3 linked regions of the Coturnix japonica genome follow. The protein of the gene in region 2 interacts with the protein of the main gene of each other region in a pairwise test. Links are inferred from orthologs where the notes say so. Each region holds a gene or a part of one and is shown on either strand. Other genes may lie near its edges.

Evidence for each region.
Region 1: the proteins of LIN7A (region 2) and MPP6 interact in binary tests that used the Homo sapiens proteins (3 or more experiments, as listed by UniProt). The link is inferred for Coturnix japonica from reciprocal best matches to the Homo sapiens genes LIN7A and PALS2.
Region 3: the proteins of LIN7A (region 2) and MPP5 interact in binary tests that used the Homo sapiens proteins (3 or more experiments, as listed by UniProt). The two-hybrid records come from large-scale screens. The link is inferred for Coturnix japonica from reciprocal best matches to the Homo sapiens genes LIN7A and PALS1.

The regions. Positions count from the first base shown.
Region 1 is NC_029517.1:28,923,217-28,927,482, reverse strand, and holds the end of MPP6 (MAGUK p55 subfamily member 6), read right to left. Parts: intron 2,782-4,266; coding exon 2,605-2,781; 3' UTR 1,044-2,604; downstream 1-1,043.
Region 2 is NC_029516.1:36,418,127-36,423,311, reverse strand, and holds the start of LIN7A (protein lin-7 homolog A), read left to right. Parts: upstream 1-2,048; 5' UTR 2,049-2,127; coding exon 2,128-2,428; intron 2,429-5,185. UniProt on the Homo sapiens protein: Plays a role in establishing and maintaining the asymmetric distribution of channels and receptors at the plasma membrane of polarized cells.
Region 3 is NC_029520.1:27,495,605-27,500,067, forward strand, and holds part of MPP5 (MAGUK p55 subfamily member 5), read left to right. Parts: intron 1-2,495; coding exon 2,496-2,573; intron 2,574-3,070; coding exon 3,071-3,217; intron 3,218-3,815; coding exon 3,816-3,977; intron 3,978-4,463. UniProt on the Homo sapiens protein: Plays a role in tight junction biogenesis and in the establishment of cell polarity in epithelial cells.

The DNA.
Region 1 (4,266 bases), on a different chromosome or scaffold from region 2:
GTGACCATCCAGTTAAAACCTGCACTCACTTTGACAACAGTCCTTGAATGCAACCTTAGCAACCCAGTGCTTATTGCTTCAGATTGTACTTCTCATTAGCATCTATATTAACCGCAGCAAAGGGTCAGCTGCTGGGCTCCGCTGTGCTAACTTAAATGTGCTTGATTGCTAAGCACTGCGTGGAGCTTAAGCTAAAGCTAAAAGCTTCAGGCTTCAGCAAATACACGGCAAATTGGAGACTGCTTACTATGTGGTCTCTTTGCACAGCATGATCTCTGAGATGGAAATAGGAGTAGCGAGGTTTTCATGACTAAATCTTGGTGCCCATCTCTCGTGGGATACTTTTGGCTGAGTACACGTCTGTAAAGTGATGACAAGAGGTGACGTTTGCAATATGAACTGCCGTGGGGTGGAAAGTGAAGAATCATCTTGTTCCGCTCCTTAAGGGAGAGTGAGCTCAGCCCACTTTTGGCATCACAAACTCGTAATGAAAAGGCATCGCATCTGTCCAGGAAGCACATTGTATTTACAGCACATGTAGGTCTTCTATGACACAGGATACAAACACAATCCCGTCACGCTAAGCTTATAATGCCAAAGCAAAATCATTGAACTAGTTAAGCAACGGCTCTGCTGTCTTTGCTGCTCCATAAAAGACTCCATCTATTTCTCAGAGCAGACTCTGAGTGACAGGATCACAGAACACATCTCTGGGAAAAGCAAGTAAAGGGCTGGTGCTGATGCTCTGCCCAGCTTAAATAAAACCACAGCAAACAAAACCAAGAAAGCAAAGCAGTGGCACAAATTTTCCTCCAACACTTCCAGAGTCCCTCCGTAAGACTGAGATCTCAGCCCTCAGAGCCACAAAGATGCCCCGTGCTCACACAGCTCTGACAAACATCTTCCAAACGCACTCTGATCTTAAGCTGCCCCCTGCTAAACAACCAACTCCATCAGCTTTAAAAATCACCTGCAGCATACAGGTAGGGTGGTTTTGCTTTTTGAGATGTAAGCTTTTCCTATATCAGCAGTTTCTGATGTGCACGTAGAAGGCTTTAAGAGCCCCAGGAGCCAATGATGCTTTACAGCACGCAGGCCTCTTTTCCTTTAGAAACAAGAAGAATTGCTTTTTGCAGTGTTCTGTATCACACTTTGGTGCTGAAAAAGAATTCAGAAGCAAGGTGCCTGTCACCGGATGGAAGAGGAATTAAGCAAATATAGATGACTTCTGTTTAGCTTGCTATGGAATGGTGAATGTTGCTATATACAACAGCTAACAGGATAATATAAAATGTGATCACAAAAAGAGCAAGTCTTGGTGACAGGCTGTATTTTCATTTTGTTCTTGTCAAGCAGAAACTTACATTAGCATAAGCTTTGATCAACAAACCTAATATGACTTATGTCTATGGGCCTACAAAGGGGACAACTGTCACCAAACACAAAAAGAAGTACGTTGTAAAGCACAAAAATGATGAACAGGGTGGATTTTTAGCAGCAGGCTTCCAATTCACAAGCTACCTAATGAAAAAATCAATTAAAAGCACAATGCAACAAAGAGCACAGAAATTCCATTACATCACACTCAAAAATACAACAGTTTTCCAAAAGAGAACACAAAACTCAGCTAGATCTCTCAGGAAATTAAGCCACAGATCACTACATAAACATCAAACGATGTCCTAAGAAAAGAAAACGCTGGGCTGGGTTCTTCTTTGTTTTGTTTTGTTTCTCAAATCAATGTGTTTCCACATGCATGAATACAACAGTCCTGGATATTAAGCTTTGCTCTACAAGGCTCCGCTATCAGGTTCTCTCTGGCTACATCACCACTGCACTGAATTACCTTGCAGACACGCTCCCTGCTGCAGGTACTTCCACCACGAGAGGCTTCTGACGGGCAGGCTCCCAAGAACAGCTGATGAGCAGCTTGCAAGGTATTGCTTCGTGTGATTGCAAGGGACGCATAAGGGAACCTACAGAACAGTTGCCTAAATCAAGAGACGTCAGGAATTCATGAAACATCAAGAATGCTTCAACGTTCAGCAGAAAGAAGCTGGAGCAATGGAGCTGTGCCGCTTGTCGCTGTTAGCGTTTGAGATTCTACTCTTGTCAAATCATTGCTTTTTAAGGAGAAAAGAAAAAGAAATCTGTTGTTTCCTAATAAAAGCGACAGACTTTTGAGCGGTTAAACACTGACGTGACCGAGTTCGACAAAAATTGTTTCAAGTATCCTCTTTTTAGTCACAGTGAAAATGTAAGACCGAGATGTAAATGTTAAAGTGAAGGACTGAAAGTTTCTCCGATGAAAAAGGCAAAGGTACTAAAATCAAAACGTATAAAATGCTTAAACGCATTTCCTTCGTGTGATATGAATAGAAAGGTTATCTGTAAAAAGTTAGAAAAATTAAAATAAATTACATATTTAAGTACACTTTCTCTTCGGCGTTATTATAAAAAGTCAGAGCAGTGTACTTTTGAATATACACAGAGTAAAAATGCGCAGGCGCTGCAGTTATCATCGCTATCTACACCACATCCCGTCACGTTAGTTTGGTTGCTGCAGTTGATTTTATTTGTTACTTAAGCTCATCTTCAGCAATCTCAGTACACCCAGCTAATGGGGACCCACTGTGGCTCCAGCCTCAGTTTCTCTATAGCAGTCTGCAGCTTCTCGAAGGCTTTGTCTAGGTTGTCATTTACGATGGTCAGATCGAAGTAGTGGTTGTACGCTCTCTGGATCCGGGCGCTTTCATCCACTGTTTTCTTCAGGTCGGTGTCCTGTTGGAAGCATTTGGAAATCACTAAGAATGCAAGACTTGTCACATCCTTACCAATCAACAAGCACTGGTTTGTGACATAGGATGAATGGCTTCATTTACAACTTTATACCGCTATGCATTAAAAAGATAAAATATCTATAATAAATCCACAAAGCCCTCAAGCTAAAATGCACTGATGGGACCGACAATTTTATACTTGGCATCAACAATGTTAAATATGGAAACCAAACATTGCACATCTTGCCATTCTTAAGGAAGTCAATAACAGCACGTGAGAGGGGCCCTGTGTGCCCAACAGACAGCCCATCGCTTTGTGCAGGCAACTGGCAAGTCAATCACAATAGTTAATGTCTGGCAATAATCGGATTGGTTATGTGCATTTATTTGTGCCTCTTTTTTCTTCCCTCCAGAAAGCACCAAAGCCCCAAGGTTTTAAATTAGTGTGAAACAAAACATCACCAAAGCTGCATTGGTGGATGAATCTCAGATCTTTAAAGCGCCACTGCAGTTGTAAATAGAAAAGCCAAAATTAAGAACTATATGAATAGCTTTTCTTTCACAGCACGTGAAGGAGGCAAGCAAATAGAGCACCACAGGAGCAGGAGTTCTTGCAATGGCCTGGGAAGCCAGGAATAGTTGAGACAGACCCACTAGCAAACAATGCACGCAATACTTCAAATGCACATTTCTTCTTTGTTCAGGAAGCTGAAGATGTCCAACATTATGATGCAGAATCCATACAGATTCATAACATGCATACTTTAAATGCAACTATCCTCTTTCTTATTCACAGAGGAAGTAAAACAAAAGCAAGGATGTCCCTTAGGGAATCAAATTTCAGGAAGTGCAGGAAATTACTTTCATACTGTCTGGGCCGTCTTAATCTTGTCTCTTGATTATACAAGGCAAAAGTCAGTGTTTGTGGGAAGGAGGCAACACAAAGCACCACAGACATACTAGAATCCTTAACAACCTGAGTCCACAACTCGGGCTGGACAGCTTCTCATGTTGTTAACAGAACGGAATCTCACAGGTTTCAGGAGAAAAAAAGCTAAAAAATCCCACATTCAATTCAGTATAAGTTAAATCACTCCCCATTTTATAGCCTGGAATGCCCCATCAGTATCACACAAGGTATCGCTACCATCTAAGCTACACAACGCCAGCTGGGTTGTCAGCATGCCAGGGCTCTTCTCAGAAGGGGAAGACACGCTGCTGAGCACACAGAATGATTTCATTTACTGCCCAGCCTGACTGTTTCTAATTTTCTTTGCACCAGTCCTCCAGTGGGAAAATTCAAAACCATAGAGAACATTCATCATTCGCTATGCCTCTCATTTGCCTCTGCTGGGTCTCAGAAAAGGAACCAGGACCTGAGGAATAAAATGTGCCACTTTGCTTTACATGACAAGTCCAAGGAACGTCACGGGAGGAGAAGCCATTCAACACTTCTTTTTCTGGCAGCTCTCAGCCATTTCTGGTG
Region 2 (5,185 bases):
CACTACAACAACAGAGTAAGTCTGAAGGCATCCTATGGGAAATAGTCTTGTTCACTGGCATCTGACCACTGACGAATTATGAAAACCTGTCAGTAAGCCCATTTCTAGTTTATACGCTCGAAGTTCTATTAATTCAATCTCATTTCCTTGGTTCAGTAAGCATCACATGATACTGAATTAAAACTTCCAGTGCTGGCCAAGAAATCAGCAAGCAGGCTGGGAGGCAGACCAGTGCCTTCCATCTAAAAGCATCCACCTTCAGGAGGGTGGTGCTGACCAGCACTACTTCTCTTGCTGACTTTTGTTGTTAGCCCACTACTTCTCCTGGAAACTAATGCTGGAAAGCAAGAGCCACAGCTCCCTACTTCATCCCAGCCCCTTTCTCCAGTTAGGGAATTCTGCAGGACAACTTCTAAAATCTTCCCTGTACAGTTGCTTTAAGTATCCCTGGGCTAGTTCTTTGAGAGCCCTGAGCATTAACTGTGCAGCTATGCTGATTAGGACATGTTTAATTCCAGCAAATGCTGCTTTTTCATCTTCCTTGAGTGCGCGTAATACTCCCATTCAAGTCTCTCATCTGAGTGCCAATTAGCCCCTGTGGCAGAGCACATGAAATCTGACCAGGGGTAGATAAAAAAGGATAAAGCTGGAATAAGCTTCTTGCTTTCCACAGTTCAAGCACAAACAGTAGATTAGCTAAACTTGTGTATTTCTAAAAGGCGACATATTTGGCATTAGCGTTACACAGATATTCATAGAAAATTTACTGTTATAGCTGCATTTTGCTTCAAGAAGTCTGTTGACAACATGGCAGATTAAAAGAGCAAGCCTAAGGGTTACGACGTTCCCTATGAAAAACAACTAATTAACCTGGCACCTTGCTTTTAATATTATTTAAACATAATTTTACACGTGTACCAATCAGAACAGTTCGAGTGTTGTCACATTACACTGTTACAGCTCCAAACGTGAATTTCTTCCCTTCTAAGGTTGGTGAACCCAGTGTGCAGCAGTGTGACTGTGTAAGAGGCACTGTTAGGCTTTACGTCGATCCAGCTGCTCCACAAGTATATAAAGTCTACAAAATAGAAATCCTCACATTAATTTTGATCTTAAAAACTGTTTGACAGGAGCTGGTTTCTTGATTTTTTTTCTCTCTAATTTTAATACTGCCATATGTATTTTTAATCTCTTAAAACTTTTAGTGACAACATTTCCACAGCTTCCCTAGCTAACTACCTCTACTACTGCTTAAATACGCCGGCAATTACAGCTGTTACCAATGCACAGTCTGCTTGTGCTGTATTTTCACATTCCCTGTGCTGTGCCCCCAGTAAACGAGAGGCAGAGTGCTACATTCCTCTCTGGGTTAAAGTTTTCCCAGTTTTGGCGTTTCTTGGGCAAGTGCAGCAACGCAGGTACTGCACAGGACGGCAGTCAAAGGGGGCTCAGGTCTCCACTGTCACTTCTCTGCACACTTGCTCACAGTGGAAGGCAGCACAACTGCACGTCCCTTTCTGGAGAGGCAGAACGGCTGCCCTTGGGCTCCGGGCTAAGGACGGCCAGCACAACCAGCCCTGCACGGCTCCACCGCTAAGCTCAGCTTGAAGGATGAGCGCTCAGGCCTGCACAAACTGAGCACATCCACCCGCACGATGTGACCTCGACTCACGATCGACCTCTCTCCCTTTATGCCTTTCAAGCCCGAGCTGTGGAACTGTATGGGACGCGTTCTAGGAGATATCGAGCGATACCCTGAGGACGGCCCGGAGCACGCAGAAGCCCATACGCGGCTCCGGGCTGAAGACGGTGCTGACTACAGCAGTGCCGTCCGAAGGGCGGCGCGAGGAAGCCCCGGTGCAGCGCAGCCCTGCGAGGGGCTCCGCCGTGGGCTCTCCCCGCAGCTCCCGGCTGCGCTCCCGCAGGCGGCGCTGCGCCGCTCCCCGCCCTCGCTCCGCTGCGGCACCCCCGGGCGGCGGGGCCACAGACGGACCGCCCCTCGCCCGCCGCCCCCGGCCCCAGAAAGCTGTCACCGACGCCGCCCGTCCCTCAGGGCCGTGAGCCCCGGGAGTCCGCTCTGAGGCGAGCTCGGCGGCCTCCCGCCGGGTCCCGGTGCGCACCGCAGCGATGCCGGCAGCCCGCGCCGGGCCCCGCCGGGCCGCCCTGCGCACGATGCACCGCGGAGTCCCGTCCACGTTGAGCCGCCCTCCGCTGGGCGCCCTCTCCGCCCCGCTCGCCTCCTCCTCCTCTTTTTCCTCCTCCTCCTCCCACGGAGCCACCCTCCTCCTCCGCCCCCTCTCCCTGCCAGCCTCCTCCCCGCCCTTCCCCTCGCTCCACGCCGGTGCCGGAGCCGCGCGTCACTCGGGCTCCAGCCCCGCCGCAGACATGGCGACACTGACCGCGGTCCAGCCGCTCACGCTGGACAGAGGTAAGAGCGGCGGCTGCCGCCCCCCGGCCCGACCGAGGGAACATCGCGGGGCTCCGTGCGAGGCGGGCGGCGGGCGCTGCCGTGACGGCCCGCCCGTCCCCGCGCCGTAAGGGCTGGAGGCGGCGGGTGGGTGGGCAGGGTCTCCCCGCGGGGCTCCGGAGCGAGGAGAGGAGAGGAAAGTTTGTCCGGCGGCGCGGAGCGGCCGGGGGACGCTGGTAGGGCTGCACGGCGAGGGCTGGGGCTGCGCGCAGGTGCCCCGCGGCCGTGAGCTCGGTTCTCTTTGCCTCGCTGCCGCTGGAGAGCCGCAGCACATCCGCACCTGTCCGGAGACGGCACCGCGCTTGGGGCGGGCGGAGCGGGCGCCCGGTTGTAAGGGGAGCGTGTGTCGGCGTTTGGGGTCGGTGCGGGAGTGCTGCGTTGTGAGCTGACGGTGATGGTATTACTCCGTGTGATGGTATTACTCCGTGTGATGATGCTATTACTCCGTGTGATGATGCTATTACTCCGTGTGATGCTACCCTGCCGGGGTGCTGTGCATGCCTGCAGGCTGCTGCTCCGTCCGCGGAGAGAGAGCGGCTGATGTTTTGCTCGCCTTGAGTTTGTGTCAGCAGCCTGACCGAGGTAATGAAAAGAGGTGCTGAAATCGTGAACTTTTGTTTAAATTCAGTTTTCGCCTCCAGGCTGTGAAAATTGGACGGCTCCCTTGCGATGCATTTGCGCCGCTTGCAAGGCCGAGCAAAAATGCTGTTTAGTTTCTGTGGTCACAGAGGAGAAGGACTTAACCTGATGTCTGATTTGTTTTGCTTCTGTGGCTCTGTGAGTTAAAGAGGTCACACAGCTCCCAAAACAGTTTCTTGAGTTGCAGATGCATCTTTCTTAACTTCCATCAAGGAGCCCAGTGGCTCTGAACATGTATAAATCTTGTACTCTTGAAAGCACGATTTAGGCCAGTGCCGCTTTTTCTTTTACATGCTCTTTCTAGAGGATTAAGACAGGCTTTCAGAGCAAGATAGAGAGCATCTTCCTGTAAATCCTATGCAAAAGAAGCCTGATGAACCCGGTTTCAAGGTGAGAAAGATGGTGCAGGGACCTTTACTGGAGCTTTACGAGAGCAAAGCAGTCTTCAGAGTTTCACAGAATCACAGAACATCCTGAGTTGGAAGGGATCTGCAAGGATCATTGAGCCCAACTCCTGGCTGCACACACAACCGCCCAAAATCAAACCCTGTGTCTGAGAGCATTGTCCAAATACTTCTTGAACTCAGTCAGCTCAGTGCCTTGACCACTGTCCTGGGGAAGCTGTTCCAGTACCTGACACCCTCTATTGATGAACCTTTTCCTATTGTACTCTAAGTACAGTTTGCTGAATAGTTTTAATTTCAACGTTTTTAGAAAAGGAGAATTTCAAGTTATTCTTACTGAAATAACAAAGCGTTTGTTATTGGCATGCGCTTGAAATTAAACAGTTCAGAAATCCACTGTGTAATCTACAGTTTCACCCTAATACTGTTTTCAGTAAGCAGGACAAATCTATTTCCTGGCAAAGAGCTGAACAGATGGCAATCCATTAGCAAACCTGGCTTTTCTAAGGAAAGTATTACTATTTCAGAATTACGCGTTTCTTTTCATCGCTAACACAGTGCTTTAAAAAAAATCACAATACACAAAAATGCAAATTAGTCCAAATTTAAATGTAAACATCTGTTGTCTGTGTCCAGAATATGCCTAAATGTTTGGCAGGGGTGCTGGTGTTATGGACTCCCTGATTGTCAGCCAGGGCTGACAGTAGCGTGAGGAGATATGGCATCACGGAGTGGTAGAATGTGACGTGCAAAAGGGAACTACAGGCAAGAAGAAATAGATTTAAATACAGCACCTGGCCTGCAGAAGGCCATTACATCAACGAGATACACTTCGTCACCCATAACAGGTTGTTATTCCATGAGCTGGAGAGGGCGGGCTGACACTCTAGGAGCAACCCAAGCCTAGTACTCCCAGGTACTTCCCCTGTAGTCTTTCTCTCACAGCCAAGGAAGCAGGAAAGTTCTGTGCAGTGTGATTTTCCACATTTCACTTGTTTTTATTAAAGCAGACACAGCTATGTTTACTGTCACTTACGCTTTGTGCAGCTCTGCTGTGATATAGGCCCAGCCTGGAGTAGGGTTGTAGTCTTGTATCTACTTGGCTGTGCCCCACAGAGAGCTACGTGCAGCAAGAAAATAGAGAGCATTGCACGAAAGGCAGCACTCACTACCATGCGTTGCATAGGGAATGGCTGCTTCGTCTCTGGCTAGGAAATGTTTGCTTTTTCCTCCACTAAGGAGTCCAGAAATAGTAAAACTTTGTATAGATGCATACATCAGAAATCTGAGTTAGGCCCCAACATGGTCTGCTCCCAGACGAAGCCTGCATTCTCTGTTCAGTGCTGTGATGGGAGCCTTCCTAGCACCCAATACAAGTGGAATTCAGAATCGTGTGGTAAAATGTATTACCATTTAAAGGTGAAGGGCATGTTGTGTGTGAATGATTGAAAGCCAATTACATTCTGGAAGATTACTTCAGTCCAAAGCACAGGAATTAATTTCCCTAATTCCTGTCATCATGTGCCTTTCTACCTGCACAAATGTGTGCAAGTTCCATTAGGGCTTTTTAATATGTGGAACAAGTTCACAAAATAATGGAAATTTTAATCACTTACAATTTAATCTCCAAGGCTTTTGCCTGACCTTTGTGTGGTGCTCTGTTGGGAGGAGGGGA
Region 3 (4,463 bases), on a different chromosome or scaffold from region 2:
CTACTTCAAGGTGTTTTTAAAGAGACATTTGGAAAAGTCTTTAAGGTGGAATGGAGCATTTAGGTGTAGGGAATTTATTTTAAAGACCTAATCTCCATAAAACATTGTGTTGTTCATCTCTTAAACAAAAATAGCCAGTAAACATCAAGTGTAATTAAATTGATTTTAAATCCTTTTAAATTTGACCAAAATAGAGGCAAGGATTATGGGAACATGGTCTGAATCTTGACCTTGTAAGAATATTTGATGCAGCGTGTAAGACACTTGGTAGTTTTTAGCTTGTAACACCACGTCAAATGCCTTGAATATATTCTTGCTATTAAATATACTCTACAGACTCAATTTATATAAATTATGTTCCTAAATACCTGATACCCTTCACTTCAGGAACTGTAATCAATTAAATTTGATCAGGCCTTCTGAGAAGACAGATTGTATGTTTGTAACTTCCAGTGTAATTTTTTTATTATGTGAATGTACATTGCTCCCAACGGTCGCACTGAACCCACGCAACATGGTTTTGCAGGTATGATTATATTCTGAAGGGCCAACATCATTCCAGTGTGAGCCCTCTGGTATGTGTCTCACAGTGTGCCTCCAAATTGTGGCTTTTATAATGAAACCCCATTAATAATTTCTTAGCTGTTAGAGTTCAAGTTAATGTAACTAACAATAAAAACTGGAATGAAGGGTTAAGAAAATAATAGTATTGCCAAATGTTTAGCGCGGAATGCTTATTCTGTCTGTGGTGTGTCACTTCTGGAACGTCAGCCTAGATTTGGATTTCTTCACCTGATGAGACATGGAATTCTTTACCTTAAATAACAAAGCAATCTGACATGCAGCAATACCAGTGTAATAAGAGTTGCACAAAGCAGACTGAACCTTTCCTAGTGATTCACACATTATATTAAGCAAATAAATAATGAATTTATCTTTTCCTTAGGAAGGAGGTGGAGGAGCTGTTAGCGTTTTTGAGTAATATAATTTTTCAAAGAGGAAATTCAGCTGCCATAGAGGATGCTATTGCACAGAGGATCACTGGTTGGGCCAAGTCACAAGGCATGGAAAAATAGAGGAGGAGGGGAGATGCTGTTCTGAGCATCTAAATGTATATATGGCTTATTGTGCGCTTATTATTCAGGCTTCATATGTGAATCATGTAGCAACTAGCAAAATGTTACTTTAAATAATATATTGTTTAGGATTGTTCTTATGCTAAATATTTATTTTATAAATTCACAAAGCGTGCAGATTTGATTCTGAGATGTACTACATACGTTCGTAATTATTGGTACATCTTTTTCTCTGTCTAATACTTAGCATCTGGCCACATGTTTGAAATGTCTTGCTTGCAGGACTTCTAACTGGGGATAACTTCCTGGCAGCTGCAGAGATATGACTTAGGTCAAACTGATGTGAAGCTGAATTCCTTCTGTTCTCTGTGTTTTTATCTAAATTAGTTCTTCAGTTTAGTTCTTGATTTTTTTTTTATTTTTTTTTTTTGTCACATTTTTCATCCTTAAGAGTGGAAAACTCTCGGGGAAAAGAATGTTTTCTATCGCACAGAAAGCTGCTGTTATGTATAATCTGTTCTTGATTCCTACAGCTTCATTAGTGCTTTTGGACTCATGACTTTGATGCAGATTAGGCCTGAAGATAATTACTGTAGAAAGTATCTTCTTCAACCTTGCCTTTAGATAAAGGGGAATGCCCTGCTCCTGGCTTGCCTTTAAAGCATACAGGGATTTTCTGTATTTGAGATGATGGCAAGACCTATTTAAGTGAACAGGAATGCAAACCTTTTTTGGCAACAAAAGCTACTTGAGCAAGAACAGCTGTTGTCTTTCTGTGGATTATTCTTTTTCTGTGGCAAACAAAATAAATAATAGCTGAAGAAAACTGGTTTGCTGAGATGCTGGTATTTTGAAGTTTTGACTCTTAGAGTTTCTGAGGCAGATGTTCCAGCAAGTGCTGCAAAACCTGTCTTGGAATCTTTGTTCTTGCTGCTAGTAGCAATACTGGGTTAAAAATAAATCATCTACTTTTAAGGAAAAGGAAGTCTGGTCACAGTAGTGAGAAACTAGTCAATTTTGAAAGATGTAGCAGTATTTGCATGGTAGGCTTCACTGTGGCTAATTATGCTGTCAGGTTCTTTTCTCAACTTCTTTGCATACATCTCTTGTGGTAGCTGAGATCATTGTTATCATTGTTAGTTTTTGTTGAGAAATCCATGTGATATACTGGATACCAGTTTGCATTCGATAGAAAATCACTGAGGTGCAGCATTCTGGAGTAGTCCTGTGATCTCACTGCATGTATTCCTAATGTGTACTAGGCCAGGCTCAGTGCGTCAGTATAACAATTATGTGCGCATATTTTACTTTCAGTAAAATGAATGATGATTGCAGCTAAGGTTTTGTGCTTCAGTTGGAGAAGGAAGACTGATAAATCACTGGGTAGACTGAGAGCTTTACTACTTCATTTCTTTTCAGGTTCAGTGTGTTTTGAAACCCAGTCACCACAGGGATGGGCAGGAACTCAATGCCTTGCTGAATGCCCCTCACATGCAGGTAAAAAAAAATTATTGTATTCTGCAGGTATTACAAGGTAGTTTTGACGTGAGCAAGGTAGCACTAGATCAGTAATGTCAGTGGCAACACATGAGCTACTTACTTTCCTGAGGGTTTTTTTCTGTGATAGATTCAGCTATTGCATTCTTATAGTAGGGTGCATAAAGAGAATTTTGTCCAGTGAAGTAAATTCATGAGTAGTTTTGACTGCAGTAGGTTTTTTTGCTTCTGTATCTTTGACATACATAGTAAACCAATGTCTGACTTTTTTTTCAAGAAGGAGAAGCCATAAGTATAGTTCCAACTTTGTGTTCAAAGTAATTTTGTATTATTTTCCAAAACCGAAAGCAGAATTTTTGTCAAGTAGAAATTACAGTATTCTGTATTTATAAAGTATTCTGTAGTTATAAAGAGCTTTCAAATTGCAGAATTTCATTGATGGCTACTATTTTGTATGCATATGGAATTAGAATTTTTCTCATTTTGTTTAACACTAGGCACTTCTACTAGCACATGATAAGGTTGCAGAACAAGAAATGCAACCCGAGCCTGTTGCAGATGAAAAAATTTATGAGAATGTTGGCACGTATGGAGGGGAAACGGTTAAAATAGTTCGTATTGAGAAAGCTCGAGATATTCCATTGGTAAGTATTTGTACTTGCCCAGTTATGCTTAAAGCAGTAAAGCTGTCTTTGCAGATAGCTATGAAAGTTACAGGATTTGAGTGTGAAAGTTATATTTAACTTAGAAATCATTTTCTTCCCCACCTGCCCAAATGATAAATGGTCATAAATGATTACTTAATGCGCATTATGATATAGCAGTAGACAGCACTTAGAGCCTGTATAGCTTTCATCGTGTGGATTTGGCTAGGGTTTTATTATAGCAGTCACTATCCAAGTTTAGCTGCAGGAAAGCTTAGATTCTTGTCCAATTACAGGTGGCTGTGTTATGTTAGTGTTCTTTTTAATCTACTATTTTGCATCTTTAAAATTAGTGTTTAGGAAAGCTTTTATTTAAAAAAAAAAGAAGACTATGAAAGTGTAGAGTAGTTTATTTCTTCAATCTTTAATATCACAGAAACAAATATGGTTTTTGTTTTTGTAAACTAGAGCATTACATTCAATATTATATGCATTTCTTTCAACGGAGAAATGTCTCCTCACTGCCTTGAAATACTTACAATAGATGGCTTTGAGTTTGTGATATGTAATAAATTCAGAATTTGTTTCTACTACACAGGGAGCTACTGTTCGTAATGAAATGGATTCTGTCATCATTAGTCGAATAGTCAAAGGAGGTGCTGCAGAGAAGAGTGGGCTGTTGCATGAAGGGGATGAAGTTCTGGAGATTAATGGCATTGAGATTCGTGGAAAAGATGTTAATGAAGTTTTTGATTTACTGGTGAGTTGGGAACTTTGTTTTCCCTGCAAAAAATACTCCTAAGGTTGAAGTCTGTTACCTCTGCTTGTCATTTGTAGACATATTTGCAATTATTTTAGAGCCAACTTTACTCTCATACTTAATACTCACACATGGTGGGCCATTTTAAGCTTACTTTCTCATGTAAGGTGCAATTTTAGCAAGTATAATGGCAGTTAAATGCAAAAATGAACCTTACAAATGTGAACAAGTCATGCTGTCATCTTGAGGCTTATTTTAATGACTTCTGATGAAAAGCTTTGCTTAGCTGTGAAAAGCTGTGATTTTTTTTATCTGTCTTGGACTCAGTTCTCAGTTAATATCAATAAATGTGTGCCTGCATGATTCTGGTCCTGCCTGGCTGACATGGAGTTCACCATCTTCACAGTAGATGGTCTCTCTCTTCAAAATCCAGTGTTTTATCTGTTGCTTGCACAGCATCAAAGTGGTTTCTCTTCTTCATTCTGT